Schizosaccharomyces pombe: one gene and its partners. The gene in region 2 interacts genetically with the main gene of each other region. Each region holds a gene or a part of one and is shown on either strand. Other genes may lie near its edges.

Evidence for each region. Genes that interact genetically often act in the same process or in processes that back each other up.
Region 1: of puc1 (region 2) and cig1, changing one enhances a phenotype caused by changing the other (phenotypic enhancement), as found in Schizosaccharomyces pombe (3 studies listed by BioGRID, with this or other methods).
Region 3: of puc1 (region 2) and pat1, extra expression of one rescues a mutant of the other (dosage rescue), as found in Schizosaccharomyces pombe (2 studies listed by BioGRID).

Annotation. Positions count from the first base shown.
Region 1 is NC_003421.2:1,225,227-1,229,803, reverse strand, and holds cig1 (G1/S-specific B-type cyclin Cig1), read right to left. Parts: upstream 2,579-4,577; 5' UTR 2,260-2,578; coding exon 1,012-2,259; 3' UTR 501-1,011; downstream 1-500. Other genes in the region: cardiolipin synthase PGP phosphatase domain-containing Gep4, read right to left, coding at 1-80; meiotic cohesin complex STAG protein Rec11, read left to right, coding at 2,879-3,143, 3,210-3,322, 3,408-3,506, 3,556-3,905, 3,950-4,094, 4,152-4,577. UniProt on the Schizosaccharomyces pombe protein: Required for efficient passage of the G1/S transition.
Region 2 is NC_003423.3:3,698,600-3,703,713, forward strand, and holds puc1 (G1 cyclin Puc1), read right to left. Parts: upstream 3,091-5,114; 5' UTR 2,054-3,090; coding exon 974-2,053; 3' UTR 599-973; downstream 1-598. Other genes in the region: SPOM_SPBP8B7.31 (acid phosphatase), read left to right, coding at 1-125, 201-320, 374-438.
Region 3 is NC_003423.3:1,681,003-1,685,055, reverse strand, and holds pat1 (serine/threonine protein kinase Ran1/Pat1), read right to left. Parts: upstream 2,196-4,053; coding exon 783-2,195; 3' UTR 501-782; downstream 1-500. UniProt on the Schizosaccharomyces pombe protein: This protein is a negative regulator of both sexual conjugation and meiosis. It phosphorylates mei2. It blocks the onset of meiosis until conjugation takes place.

The DNA of each region.
Region 1 (4,577 bases), on a different chromosome or scaffold from region 2:
AATGTAGCATGTGGGATTATTCGACGAGGATTTCGAATTGTCTGACAAAATGCTTGAATTCCCTCGATATTAATCAACATGCCAAACAAAGATGATGATAATTAATAAAACAATTGTGTTAGTTTTGTTGTGGATTAAACGATGATAGAACACGTCTTAGATTGCTGAAATTATAACTTGTTGGTGTCCAATGAGTTTAGAGTTGCTAAAAAATGAATAAATGAGATAAATTACTACGTATGAATACTTAATTAAAAAACATCGAGTGGGTTTTCTCAGTTCTTAAATAGACTTGAAGTATGTAATAGGCATCTTTACTACTAAGGATGAACCACAAATGGCTGATTTTTACAAAACAATAGATGTCTGAAAGCATACTAACATACACCAGATTGAAAATACTAGACCTGTGCAAACATCGTTATACAAGGTGTGATGGACTGTCAATGATCTCCCAATAATATTTGTGAAACCAATGCAGGACGTGAAACAAATATGAAGAGAAAAGGTAAAAATAGTTATGTTATTTATAAAGTTTAAGCCTAACTACATAAAGATCAGTAGCAACAATTAGTCCAATTAACCCGTCGATCATGCCCAAAGGTCGGATGAGACGATTGTGTAAAGGTAGGACAAAATTAAATTAAAAAGGTATTAATCCAAAAAAATAAAAATGGTTTAAGGGGTATCAAAAAATAATTACAATAGAGATACCCGTAACGTTATTTAAGTATAGTAAAAGATATAGAAAACAAGATGGAAGAGGGAATTCGGAAAGATAGTTATAAAATAGACAGTAGTTCCAAGTCTCTGGGGGATAATAGGGGTGGTTTAAACGACAAACTTAGCAAACGGAGTGGAGAAAAACTACTACCTTAGGTAAGATATAAAATGCCCTCGAGTGATTGCTGTAGGAAATATTAAGACAATGATCCGTAATAATAAATATCGTAGGCTTAATAATAGCAAACTAACTCAGAATATCATTGTTAACAACTTCTGAAAGCAAACTCAAATCACACTTAGTACCCAGTTGTGAGCAAAGGCGCTAACTCGCTTCATTCTATTCTCCGAGTACTTTCGGTAAATGGCATTGTGATGGTTAGGGGCATCGACCAAACATTCCATAATGATTATGGCACACGGTTTCAATTGACGAGCCGTGTACCCACTATAATATACATGGCAAGGAGTCCAATCCAAATGACCCAACATCTGCATAGACAAGTAGTAGGCAGTAGCAGCAATGAAGCTAATATGGGCACCTATAAAAATTTCATCCATCAAGGTTACTTCTTGAAGATATTTGGCGAGCATGCGAATGTCGTGATCGTAAGAATCAGCTCGACTTATACGACGCAAAAACGACATGGGCCCTGGCCAACTAATGTCAAAATCCAAAAGCATCAGCATATAGCGCTCGGCTCTAATGATTTCGTCAACGGTGAAGATCCCTTGGACAACATGCGCAAAGTTGTAGATGCTTGGAGGGTGTATCTCTTCATACTTACAGGCAATCAGCAAAGCTGATAAACCTACCAACTGGACTTTTTGCAAAGATACGACTTTTATGGAAAGAAACCGGTCGATAAGGTTTACCGCCAAAAATAATGTCTCAGGAAGTAAACGAAAATGTATTTGAACTTGCACAATCCAATCAACAAGCATATGTCTTGTAACCCAGTCAATCTCTTGCTGAACTGACATGTAATTAGGAGGTGGAGCCAGCTTCCTTTCCAAAGATTGCATGTAGTGAAATATCTCAGGATCATAGTCTGGTACCATGGATGGATCAGTTTCTATATCCTCAGGCGATGGGTTAGCTTGTAATCGAGCAGCAGCTTCAGACAGGGCGGCTAAATCTTCCTTGGTCCACTCGGGAATTGTTGGTAGTCTATGCTTCCCGTGTGTAAGAATTCCTTCAGGTGCGTCAAAGCTGCCCTCACGGTTTTCCAAATCATCATCTCCAATAGACTTAGGAGTGGAGCGAATTGACCGTTCCTCTATCTCGACTTTGTCCTGGTATGCAAAATCCTCTTCAAAAGTGTCGCCAGTGGACGAAGAGATGGAGGATTCATTATTCCCTTCAATCAATGTTGGTTCATCTTGTTGATTGATGTTATCTACTGCCTTGAAAGGTGCACGAACACCCGTATTTAACTTGATGTGACTTTTCTTCTTCACATAAATGTGATCCTTTTGTAGCTGATTCTCATCTTGAAAATATGTTGCGTGTCTTGTTTGAGTCGAAACGTCCATTAGTAAACCAGCACACACTTGTTTAGAAAGTTTTGGACATGCGATGAAAGTCGGTTTTCAAACTGCCTTTTACTCAGGTAGGAACCCTAGTCTTCTCTTTGGAAAAGATCCTTAAAAATTTAGATGCTTTTCGACTTCTAAAAATTCGAAAAAATGACTCTACACCCAAATATATGAAGATACTATTGAACGAAGGATTCGAGGAAAGTAATCTTTTGGATTGACCAGAAAGATTAGTACTACAACAGTACAAGAACTAAAAATCTCAAATGAAACCAACGAACAAGAGTATTAACCAAAAGTTGGAGTAGGACTTTGCAAAGGAATACCGAGCTACTACTAATGAGAAAAAGGAGTTGGTGGGTTCTCAAAAGGGGTCAGGGAAAAGCCCGAAATTCCGAGTAAAAACGCGTTCTTATTCATAAATTAGTTACTTTATGTTTCAAAAGTAAAACTTTAATAAATTATTATATACTTGATTGCAATGGTTGTATGTGAACTGCAAAATAATTAATGACTGACTGACGCGACTCGTGTCACGTAAACAAACCCATCGTTTCTGTTAGATTAATCTTTGCCATAACCAACCACCATCGTACCAATTAATTGAGTGATTTCAATGAGATTCGAATTTGAATCAGATGCAAGCAGTCATCTCAATGAAGTCCTTACTGAATTAGAAAGCGTGGAGCTTGAAAATGTTGAATATGAAGGTCCAAGTTTACAGAATGTCAGCATTTGTGCCTCGCCCTCAGAAAAAAAGCGGAAATGGGGAACACAAGATGAATTTTCTTTGACGGAGAATGAAGAAAATAATGAAATAGAGACGAATGAAGAGATGCACGTAAATTCTCATGATTATGCCTTTCCACAAGAATTTTTTCGTAAGTTTGCTTGCTTATAAGAGAAAAAAAGTCTTCGATAATATATTCTAACAAGCATACGAAAAGTCAAACTGTTGGATATAGATATGCCGCTCGAGCAACTTTCTCAACATTATTTTGAAGACTATAAAAGTAATAGCGCTGACTTCATGCTGACCTTTATAAATTTCGCATTAGTTGTAAGTTTAGCAGGAATGATCCGCGACGTTTTCTAGCTTTTGCTGTTTTGTTTACTCTTCCTTTGAAACGTAAACTAATTCATAGGCCTCTGGTTGTCAACCCTTCGTTACGAACTTTGATGTACAGGACGTAGATTCAATTCCTGAAACATTGTCTCAGGTCAATCGTTCAAGTTTTCAAAAGGTGTGTGCATCATCTTTTTGTAATATTTACTTACCATACATATCGCTAGTCTTCTTGCGCTTATACTGATTATCTTTATACTTCTAACTCTAAAGAAGCTAAAACGGTGCGTATTCGTTTTCAGCTTTTTTTGGTCGAATTCATCAGTAAAGTTTACGTGGAAGACGCATTCCTCGGAGACTCATTCATGGAAACTACAAAAGCTTGGATTTTTACCATGACGACAAGTCCTTGGATGCTTGTTAGACATACTGCAACAACTATTTGCTGTGATATCATGCGATGCTTATGCCTTATAGTAAACAAACTTTCCGAAAAATCAAATCAAACTGCGGAAATTCTGGTACTGAGAGACTTAACATCTAGGTTCATTGACATGATTCACGACATTTGTGATAGGTTGGCAATACTACTTTTCTTAACGACTCTAACCTTTTTACTAGTGTACTATTCTCAAGGATTCATGATATACGTGCAAGCATTCGTATAGTGTGTGTTACTGCTCTATATGATTGTTGCCAATTGCTTCCCACCTATCTTATAAACAGAAATTTGATTAGACATTCTGGCTGGGGGTTATCTGATGCAGTAAGTGTATAAACAATCGCTACTGCTGTATCATTTAAATACTAACTGAACGTATAGGAATCACAAATCCGAAAAATCTCCTTAAAAATAATAGATTATCTTTCTTCTCATGAACCTGAAAAAGATCAAGATTTTGTGGTTGATTTTCTTGACAGATTCTCGTTAAGAATTGTGGAGATATGTCGGTACGATATTGATTCTGTTCGATCTGTTGCCCTCAAGACATGCGAGAAACTGATGGAGAAAATATCGTTGAATGGAAAATGTATCAATATTGTTTCTAGCTGCATATTTGACGGGAAGCCCCAGAATCGAATCTCGACAATGCGAATCCTCGTTGCCCATACTAATGAACGCTACGCAAATTATTGTGAAGCAAAGACTGCAACAATCAGCTTATCAAAGCTCTTAAGGCGTGAAAAAATCCCATTGTTAGTTTCCAGCTTTGAAAGCCTATTCAAAATGAATGCGTTATTATTCATA
Region 2 (5,114 bases):
GTGCGTTGCTAGCCGTACTTGTGCTCCCAAGTATGCGAAACAAGCATTGAATTTGATGAAGGTACCAATAGATGGAAGTCTTAAGCCGGCTATCGAATTTTTCACTTATGTAAAAGCTTGGCCAGGTATGTCTTTTAATACATTTTTGTCAATACAGAAAATATCAATAATCATATTGCTAACTAGTTATTGTGAAATAGGTAGTAAAATGGATCACTTCAAAGAGATCCACAACGAATCTGGAATTGACTATCGAGAAATGGTGTTTTTTGATGATGAGTCTAGGAACAGAGAGGTTGAAAGACTTGGTGTTACATTCTGTTTAGTTCCTGATGGCCTTAATCGTGCGTCCTTTGAGCAAGGTATAAACAAGTGGAGAAAATTAAAAAAAACTCACTAAATATTCTTTCATTTCTAAAAAATCATATGCATGGTTAATTTTTCTTTTGAAAGAAAAGTTAATCAATTTTGCTTGCATCTTAAGAAAACAACTATCGTGCTTTAACTTATATTTAGAAGTCTCTATTCGAATTGAGATGTATTTTGTTTAATCACAGTATCATTGTTAAAATTGGGAAACACTGATACTACTTTTAATGGGTGAAGAATCAAATTTAGAAATTAAATCTATTAAAGACCTAAATTGCTTCAATCTGTAATATGGGGTTTCTTATGAACTTTCTCTTTTCTTTTTGCAAACTAAGTAAGTATCATATAAATAAATAACAAAAATATATACAAACGGTATAATGTCATATGAGCATAGTTGCAAACCGGTTTAGGAAAACAAAGAACATAACAGAGTAGTTTAATTGATTAATATAATGAATTTTATAAAAATTCTTAAAAAAAATTACATCACTATACACTTACTTTTCTCAAGTAAATATATAATTTTGAAATTATATCTCCATTACATGTTTGTCTAGAAGCATTGCAATATATATAAATCGAAGAAGAAGCAATGTTAAAGTTACAAAGTACGCTCAGTATCCTTTTCAGTCATGTTGCACCAGGCAGCCATTGCGCATTGTTCCGGATATTTCTTTGCTAAAATACTAGAAATACGGCCTAGTGAGGAAAACAGTAAATCAGTACATTCCTCATTAGCATACCTCTTTGACATGTTTTCCATATATGATGTTACGGTATCCAAGTCTTCAGGCCACAAAAAGTTATCATCTTTGCGATAGGATTCCATAGAAGGGTGTGTCAAAAGAAACGATCCGACATGTTCGTTTACGATGTTCATAACTGAACATGCGATTTTGGAAGCGGGAAATTTGAATAAATTAGGTACAAACATTGATGCATCAAGTACTAAGAAAAAAATCGGGTCTAAAACAGGAATATACGAAGCTGGTGTAGGGATTGAGATATCCCAATCAAGAGTATCAAGTATGTGGCGTTCCATACGAATAAATAAATCCTCAGCATAGATGTTTTTACAAGCTAACTTCAGTTCTTGCAATAATGGAACACGGTCTTCTGTTTCATGAAATTTACTGGCAATCCAAAGACAAACACATGCTACTAACTGAATGTGTTTGCAGTATACCACTCTCCTCGAGACATATGAATCCATGAGGGAAATACTAAGCGGAAGAGTATCAATAGACAAGTCGAATCCATTATGTATTTCTACAATAAAATTAACGAGTGCAGGTCGCATTGACCATCTGAGTTCCGGTTGCTGATTAGAAAGATGGACATTCAGCAAAAAATTTTTCTCTCTAGTAATCAGATGATGGATAATGTCTTCCTGGTACTCACCTAAATACCCGTTCATTGATAAACCAGTGAGTAAAGAGGATTGAGTGTTATAAAGTAAGGCGCTAGATTCCGCTGACAATGTGCTAACAGAGTCGACAACAAATGCAGTCTCATTTTTAAGAGAGGGAGATTTGGAATTAACGCCTTTTGGTGAAACAGCTAAAGAGCAAGGGCCCACTGATAGAGAATATGAACAGGCAGCTAATATTTTAGGTTCTATACTTGAAGATGAAGTGGGAGTATGAGCAGTAAGTTGTTCCTCATTGGAAGAAACTAACATACTGGGTAGACAGGTATTTGAAAATAATGAGAAGGAAAGAGTAGAAAAGCTCTTCACAGTCGATGAAGTTGCAGCTCAAAGTTCAGTGAATTATTAAAAAAATGATACTGAAGAAAAAATAATTGGACATAAACAGGCTCAGATTGCTTGTTAAGAGGTAGTGGTCAAAGCGAATAGTGTTTAACTAACTGAAAGCGATACAACGGCGGAAAATTAAGGGACGATTTAAAAAGGAAGAAAAAAAAAGAGTGAGGTGACGATTAAAAAAAAGGGAAAAATTACTGGGTTTTCAAGGACGCTAAAGAGATATCAATAATGGAAGGGGTAATATAAAGGAATCGAAAGAGTAAATTGCAAAGGACTTGTAAAAAGCCAAGACGAAAGAACCCAATAATATATAGTGAAAAAAGGCTATATAAATATTAAAAGAATGCAAAATGAAGCGGAAGAAATTAGATGCGATAAATATATGTTTCCAAAAAGGTTCGGTGAATAGTTATTTAGTTTGATTAACGGATTTCAGAAGCAGACAATGCATTCATACTAATGAAAATATTACAAAGAAACACAAGGTTAATTCCAAAAAGAAAAAAAAAATAAAAAAAAATAAAAGGAAGAGAAAGATATTTAGTAAAATATGTCCATATGCAGCAAAAATAAGGAAATAAATTTCAATTAAACCAAACGATGTATTGCAAAAGAAAAACAAAATTTGGTTACGCTGTTCAAACTTTCGAATTCATTTACAGTGCAGTCAATTTAATTTACCGCAACCTTGATAGGACAGAAATTATAAAAGAACACCAAAAGCTGGAGAAAAGTAAGTGGTACAGACTCTTTTAAAGAAAACAATTCAGTTCCGTCAGCTACTATTTTATAAAAAATGATAAACGGATACGACTAAGAGATCGAATTTGTGAACGATTCGTACCAAGCAATAAATAAAGTTGTCGCTTGTATACCAAAAGCAATTATGGTGTGGTAAGAAAAGAGAATGTAACAAAAAACAAGGCGGAACTGGTAAAGAGATAAATTATGGAAGGTTATAAACGGTGGGCAATCGATATCTTTATAAGGATAAATCTTATAGTGTAGTGACAATATCGCGAATCGGTATCCTTACATTGTGAATGTACAATGTCCATTCTAACTCGTAATTTCTGCAACGTAACTAGCTACTGTTAGTAACAACAACCGGAATTTTCGGATTTGAATTAATTAAGCCTCAAGTGATCTCCATCTTGGTATGGCCGATTCACAAATTTACCATACCAACGATGTGTACTGAAAGCGTAAAGTACTAACACACAATTAATTCAATGGGTCAAGCACATCATGTAAGTGACGACGTAGCCCAAAACTATTCCATTCATAGCACGCCATCTATCAAAGAACTTGAACAAAGAAACTAGTACAAAATTTTGATTTTCAAAAGCGGTTAATTGATAAGTTACTTGCTGTAAATCATATTGGCCAAATCGTGAAATGTACGTACTGCTAACATTGCGCACGCAAGTAAGAAAAAGTGGGGACAAGAAGCAGAGGTAAATCAATTATTCAAGAATGTAAATATTGACCCGTTCGATCATCTACAGCTTTTTTTTTATGAAAATCACGTTATTAACAAAATGGCTGGTGCAATCCAGCTATAACTACAGCTAGATAGATTAACATTAATAATATCGATTTTCTTCACAATAGCATATACCGCAATCTTTATTTTACATAGCAGAAGGAAATAAGCAGCCCAATTACTGTGTGTAAATGTTTATCACTTAGTATATGGATTAAACAAATTGTAAATAATAGTCAAGACTTAAGTCAGTTAATTTCCGATGAAATAATTAATTTTTGAGGAGAATGTGGGGAATGAACATGAATAACTAGCATGGATAAATAGATTCGCAATCAGTGACATAACGATATTTATGAGCCGTCTAGTTTCACAGATAATTCCACCTGGTGGTGCGGATAAAAGTAGGATAGAAAATAACAGAACCAAAACGTTGAAAAACGCATTGCTTGGCTTAAAGGTCATAACATTATTCTATTCAATGGAAAAAAATGTTTGGTAGTTGAACGAGATTGCTTCTCAACGCAATGTTTTATTTTCACTACGAAATGTTCTCATGCTTCTAATCTATGACTTCTACTTTACATGCTGTTGATTCAGGTGGTGTTTTTGTACCAAAGTGGGGGGTCTAAGTCGTTAGTACTATTGTCCTTCTTCTGGTTAGTACTGACAGTTTGTATTACATTTTAAGTGGGATCGTAGTAACTAAATGGGGGTACATAAAACTGGTACTACTAAACAGATTTATCTAAGTTGTGAACAAATTTCAATAAACAAACGAATGTATAATCTCATCGGCAAGAAAATAATTTTTTACGTCAATCACTTATTTCACTTCTTTATTTTATTTTGAATATATCAAATGTAATCAAGTTTAGAAACGTAGACGGGTTCATGTATGAGCTTTCTTCGTTTCATTTGCATATATATCCTTTGTAAGATTCTGTTACTTTGAATATGTTTTCTTTATAAGTTGTAGATGGTAATTGCTACTCTTTAAATACAAGCTGTCTTCTACAATAATTTTAATTTTACCAGAGTATTTTTAATTATCCTCATGCGAGTAATTTTCTAATTATGTGGTGTAACAAAAATAGCGTTCGGTTAAATTTTAGTTCGCCGTGTTAAGTCTATTAATCAAAAAATTTGGGTTCGTAAAATTGTACGCCTATCTGCCTAGAATCAAGTGAAACCATATTACAGGCATAATGCTCCAATCGATAATGGGAATAAACAACTCAGACTTTGGAAATTCACAGCTACATTGCCATAATCATATTGTGGATGGGTGTGTCACCTTGAAATGTTTTATTGATAAACTAACTAGCAACTAATCTATGCTTTTTATCGGAAAAAATAAAAATAAAATAAACTCCTATAATAAAAGACCTTTTTGTACAAAATCATAATAATACCACCCTATTCCAGACATTTTTTTTACGTAAAATGACATATTAAAACCTCTTCGTTTTTTTTAGTACGAAGAAA
Region 3 (4,053 bases), 2.0 Mb from region 2:
ATAAATAACAAAGTTTAGTAAAATTTGTCCCCTTACAGGAAACTTATAATTGTATTATTGCTATAATTTAATTGCATCTTCAAACCTAGTTTTCTAATTTCTTTCTCTATCATCCTTTACTAAAATATATCTTTACTTAACTTAACAATATCTTTATTTTTGAAAATATTGTCCAAAAAATATTCTATATACACAACGATATTTGATATAATAATTGCTTAAAAATATCAGTAAAAATATTGTAATATTAGAATTTACAAGAAGATATCTATAAATTTAATTTAATATTTTAACTTTTAACAATATTATTACAAGTTATGAATAATATCCTTCTATCTTCGTATTCCAAAAGCTTAGTTTGCTTTATCTCTTCAACATTTCGAGTATAGCGGTGATACAATATGACTGCATGCTTCATGCTCTAAACTCTTTAAATTTACTATTACAACCGTCGTTAAAACGATCCATTCGTCTACCTTTTCTTTTTTTTTTTTTTAAGTATATATTTATAAAAAAATTTTTGTTTTAAAGAACAAACCACAAGCAAAAAAAATTCATCAATGTTGTTAACAGAAAAAGATAATGCTACCATCATAATAAACATATAAAAAAGAAGAAATATAAGTATAAAACAAGTGCATAAAATGTTAGCTATTTACACAATGTTAAAATTCAAATCCCGAGAAATAATTATTGGGGCAGTCAAAGCCCTCTATAATGTTTTGCAGTAACCCTGAACAAAACAACGTGCGGTAGCGAATATAAAAAAGAAGCAAGTAACTTTAGAGCGATTTTCGAGATGGATCTACGGCATCAGCAGCACGACCAACTGGTGCAGGATGCAAAACGAATCCAGTAAAAGGTATGGGAGTCAGCGGAGGTTGATTAGGATAACCGAAAATTTTTGCATTATTCGGATAGGGTGTGGGTGTAATAGGCATATATGAGTTAGCATTGTTATGGACAGCTGCTGCCGCCGCTGCGGCAGAAGGCCAGAATGATTCGGTTGCATGAATAGGTGCTGTAAGAGGTGTAGTCGGATCTACTTTAAGTGAAGAATTTGGTGTAAGGACTTGTAAGGAGACAGGGATCGTTGGAGTAGCACAATGATTCCAATTACTTACAAACTGGGGAGTCGGAGGCCAGGGAAAGCCAATGTTTTGAGTCGGCATATAGCCTTGATGAGGGTAACCTTGAATTCCTTGTTGCAAATTCATTTGTTGCTGTTGTTGTTGTTGTTGGTATGCGAGATAACGAGATGAAACAAGGGGAGCAGGTCGTAAACGTCGTGTAAGGTTCTTACAGTTTGATACTAGCGTGGAAAGTTCGGGTAATGTGATTCGGGTTTTGGGATTCCTATCAAAAATTCGATTGAGTAGAGAATTGAGCTCTCTACTGATGGGTAAAATGGATAAAAGGGTTGATGGATTGTGAACGTAGGAACGGTAAGTACCATCAGTTTGAGAACATGCACGCTTCCAAGGGTTCCTCTTACAACACAGATTAATTAATATAATTCCCAGAGCCCAGACGTCATTTGGCGCTGTAGCAAAGCTGGATGATTGTGATTCTATAGGTTCAGGAGTTACCGGTAGCATATCTGACAGCGAACTAAGTTTTTTCACCTCCCGTTGACATTCTGGAGACATGTAAAACAGACTACCACATCCAAAGTCACTTGAATAGGGTTCTGTAGTAGCCAGACCAAAATCAGCTAAGTATACGGTGTTTACATCATTTCCAACCATAATGTTTTCGGGTTTAAGATCTCGATGATATATGCCAACTGAGTGACAATGTTCAACAGCAGAAATAAGCTGTAAAAAAACGGTTTTAATTAAATGACTATTCCCTTGATATACCTTTTTCTCCGTGATGTAAGTAAAAAGGTCGCCATTCGGACAATACTGGAGAACGACATAAATGGCGTCTTCCGTTTCTAACACGCGGTGCAATGTAATAATATAAGGATGTGAAGAAACACGAGCATGTAAGGCAAGTTCGCGAGCTTGTAACTTCTTCTGCTTTTCATTTAAGCCATCCTTACATAAAGCCTTTACTGCATACAAGGTACCGTCGTAAATGTCTTCTGCTTTGTACACGACACCATAAGCACCGGCACCGATGATAGAAACAAATCGTAAAGAATCACCCAAGACCTGACCCAAAAGGAGTTCTGGATTTTCGCGCATCATCTAATGTTTAGTAAAGATAAATTAAATAAAGTCCCAATTGATGGCGAAAATTAGATAAGAAAATAGAAAATAAGTATTTCGGATGATAAAGTTTTGAATAGCTTAAAGAACTTTGCAACCGAAACAAAAAAAAAACTTTGAGAAAGGTTAGATTTTCTAATGTCTTCTAAAATCAATGATAAAAAAAACAAAGATCGTTATAAACAGGAAAATAGTCAATAACACAATGATAGGTTTTATCTTGATCGTTTGAGGTTTAATAATATAAGGGAATTTACAAGAAAAAAATTTTTTTTTCAATTGTAAGCAGGTAAAAAATACGACAACGAAGAATGAAAAAGAGAATCGAATACGCCAATCACAGAGAAAACGACCAACATGCAAGAAACAAAATTAATAAAGAAAAGGGGAAATGCAATTGTGGAAGGAAGAGTTAAAACGAATAATATATAATGTTTATGATTAAAAAGCACAGGTCCTTTTGAGTACAACGAATGGAAGTGAGAAGGGAATGTGAATAAAAAACCGGGAAAAATGATGATTAGTATTTTAAGCAGGGAATAAAAAGTAAGAATGCTCAAGATAATCAAAGGAAACTCTAAAGATCAACGTACAAACAAGACACACAACGATTTTCCAAAGGAACAGTAAGAGAAATCGGGAAAATGTACAGGTCAGTAGTCGGTTAAAGATGGGGGAGAAAAGTAGAATTAATTTTTACCTAGTAGTATATCCTTTCCAAATTGAGGTAAAAATGAGAATAGAATGTTCGGTTTAAAAAGAAGAGAGGGGATGAGAAGGAAACACAATCGACAATCAACGCTTGCGAGTAAGTCAATAGACTTAGGTGGAAGAGTTGGACTGGGGAAAAAAGAGATGAGTTCACCTAATGTCAATAAGTATGCACAGCAATATGGATTTGTGAATGTAAAATGAAAAAATCGAGTAATTAAGAAAAGCCGAGAGAAGAGAATTCTTGAAAAGTATTTTCATCAAGCACAAAGGAATTTACAAGAAATCGTTCAGGGTAATTCCCATTTACATTGGGGAAAAGCAGAGAAGTAGTAAGTTTGGATATGGAAAGAAGTATCTATCTCTAATCGAAGAGGCTAGGGGAAAGAACAAAGAAAGGAAAAGCAGACGCGAACAAGAACCAAAGACGAAAGTGAAAAAGAATAAATAAATAAAACAAAAAAAAAATAATAAATTAAAAAAGAGGAAAAGGAAACGCGACTCAAATATGACTAATGCTCGTCGCGATGAGAAATAGTGATTTCTTTGTTAGAAAAACGAGTAAGATGGAAACTTTTAGACACGGGAGATGATAAGAATCCAAGAGGAAGAAGGGAAAACAAATGTAAAAGAAAACGAGGATGGTGGAAGGGAGGATATTAGTAAGAATAAAAAATGGTGGTTAAAGAAAAAATAAAATCCAAATTCGACAATTCAACGTTTGTTTATAGAATTTCGAAGTTTTTAATTAAAAAAAAAATAAAATAAAAAAAATAAGAATACAATCCAAACTTGTGTAGAATGAATAAAAGATAAATTTTTTAATTTTGGTTCGATTTCTAATCAGATAAAAGTAGTGTTTTCTTTATTGCTTTAACACAGTAGACAGCCGAACAACCTGAGTAAGAGTAATCGCGTTAATGACCAGGGGATATGAAAGCTGAAATCGAAATTCTGGAATTGTGGTTAATCACCCACAGGATCCAGCAAGCAAGAACGCTTTTCTAGCTTGCCAAGAAGAAAGGAGCAAGTGCAGAGATGAATTGTTGATAGCAGCGAGAATGCAAATGGGGAAGGGAACGTGAATTGTGAAAGTAGAGTAAAAAAAAAAGGAAAGCAAAGCAAA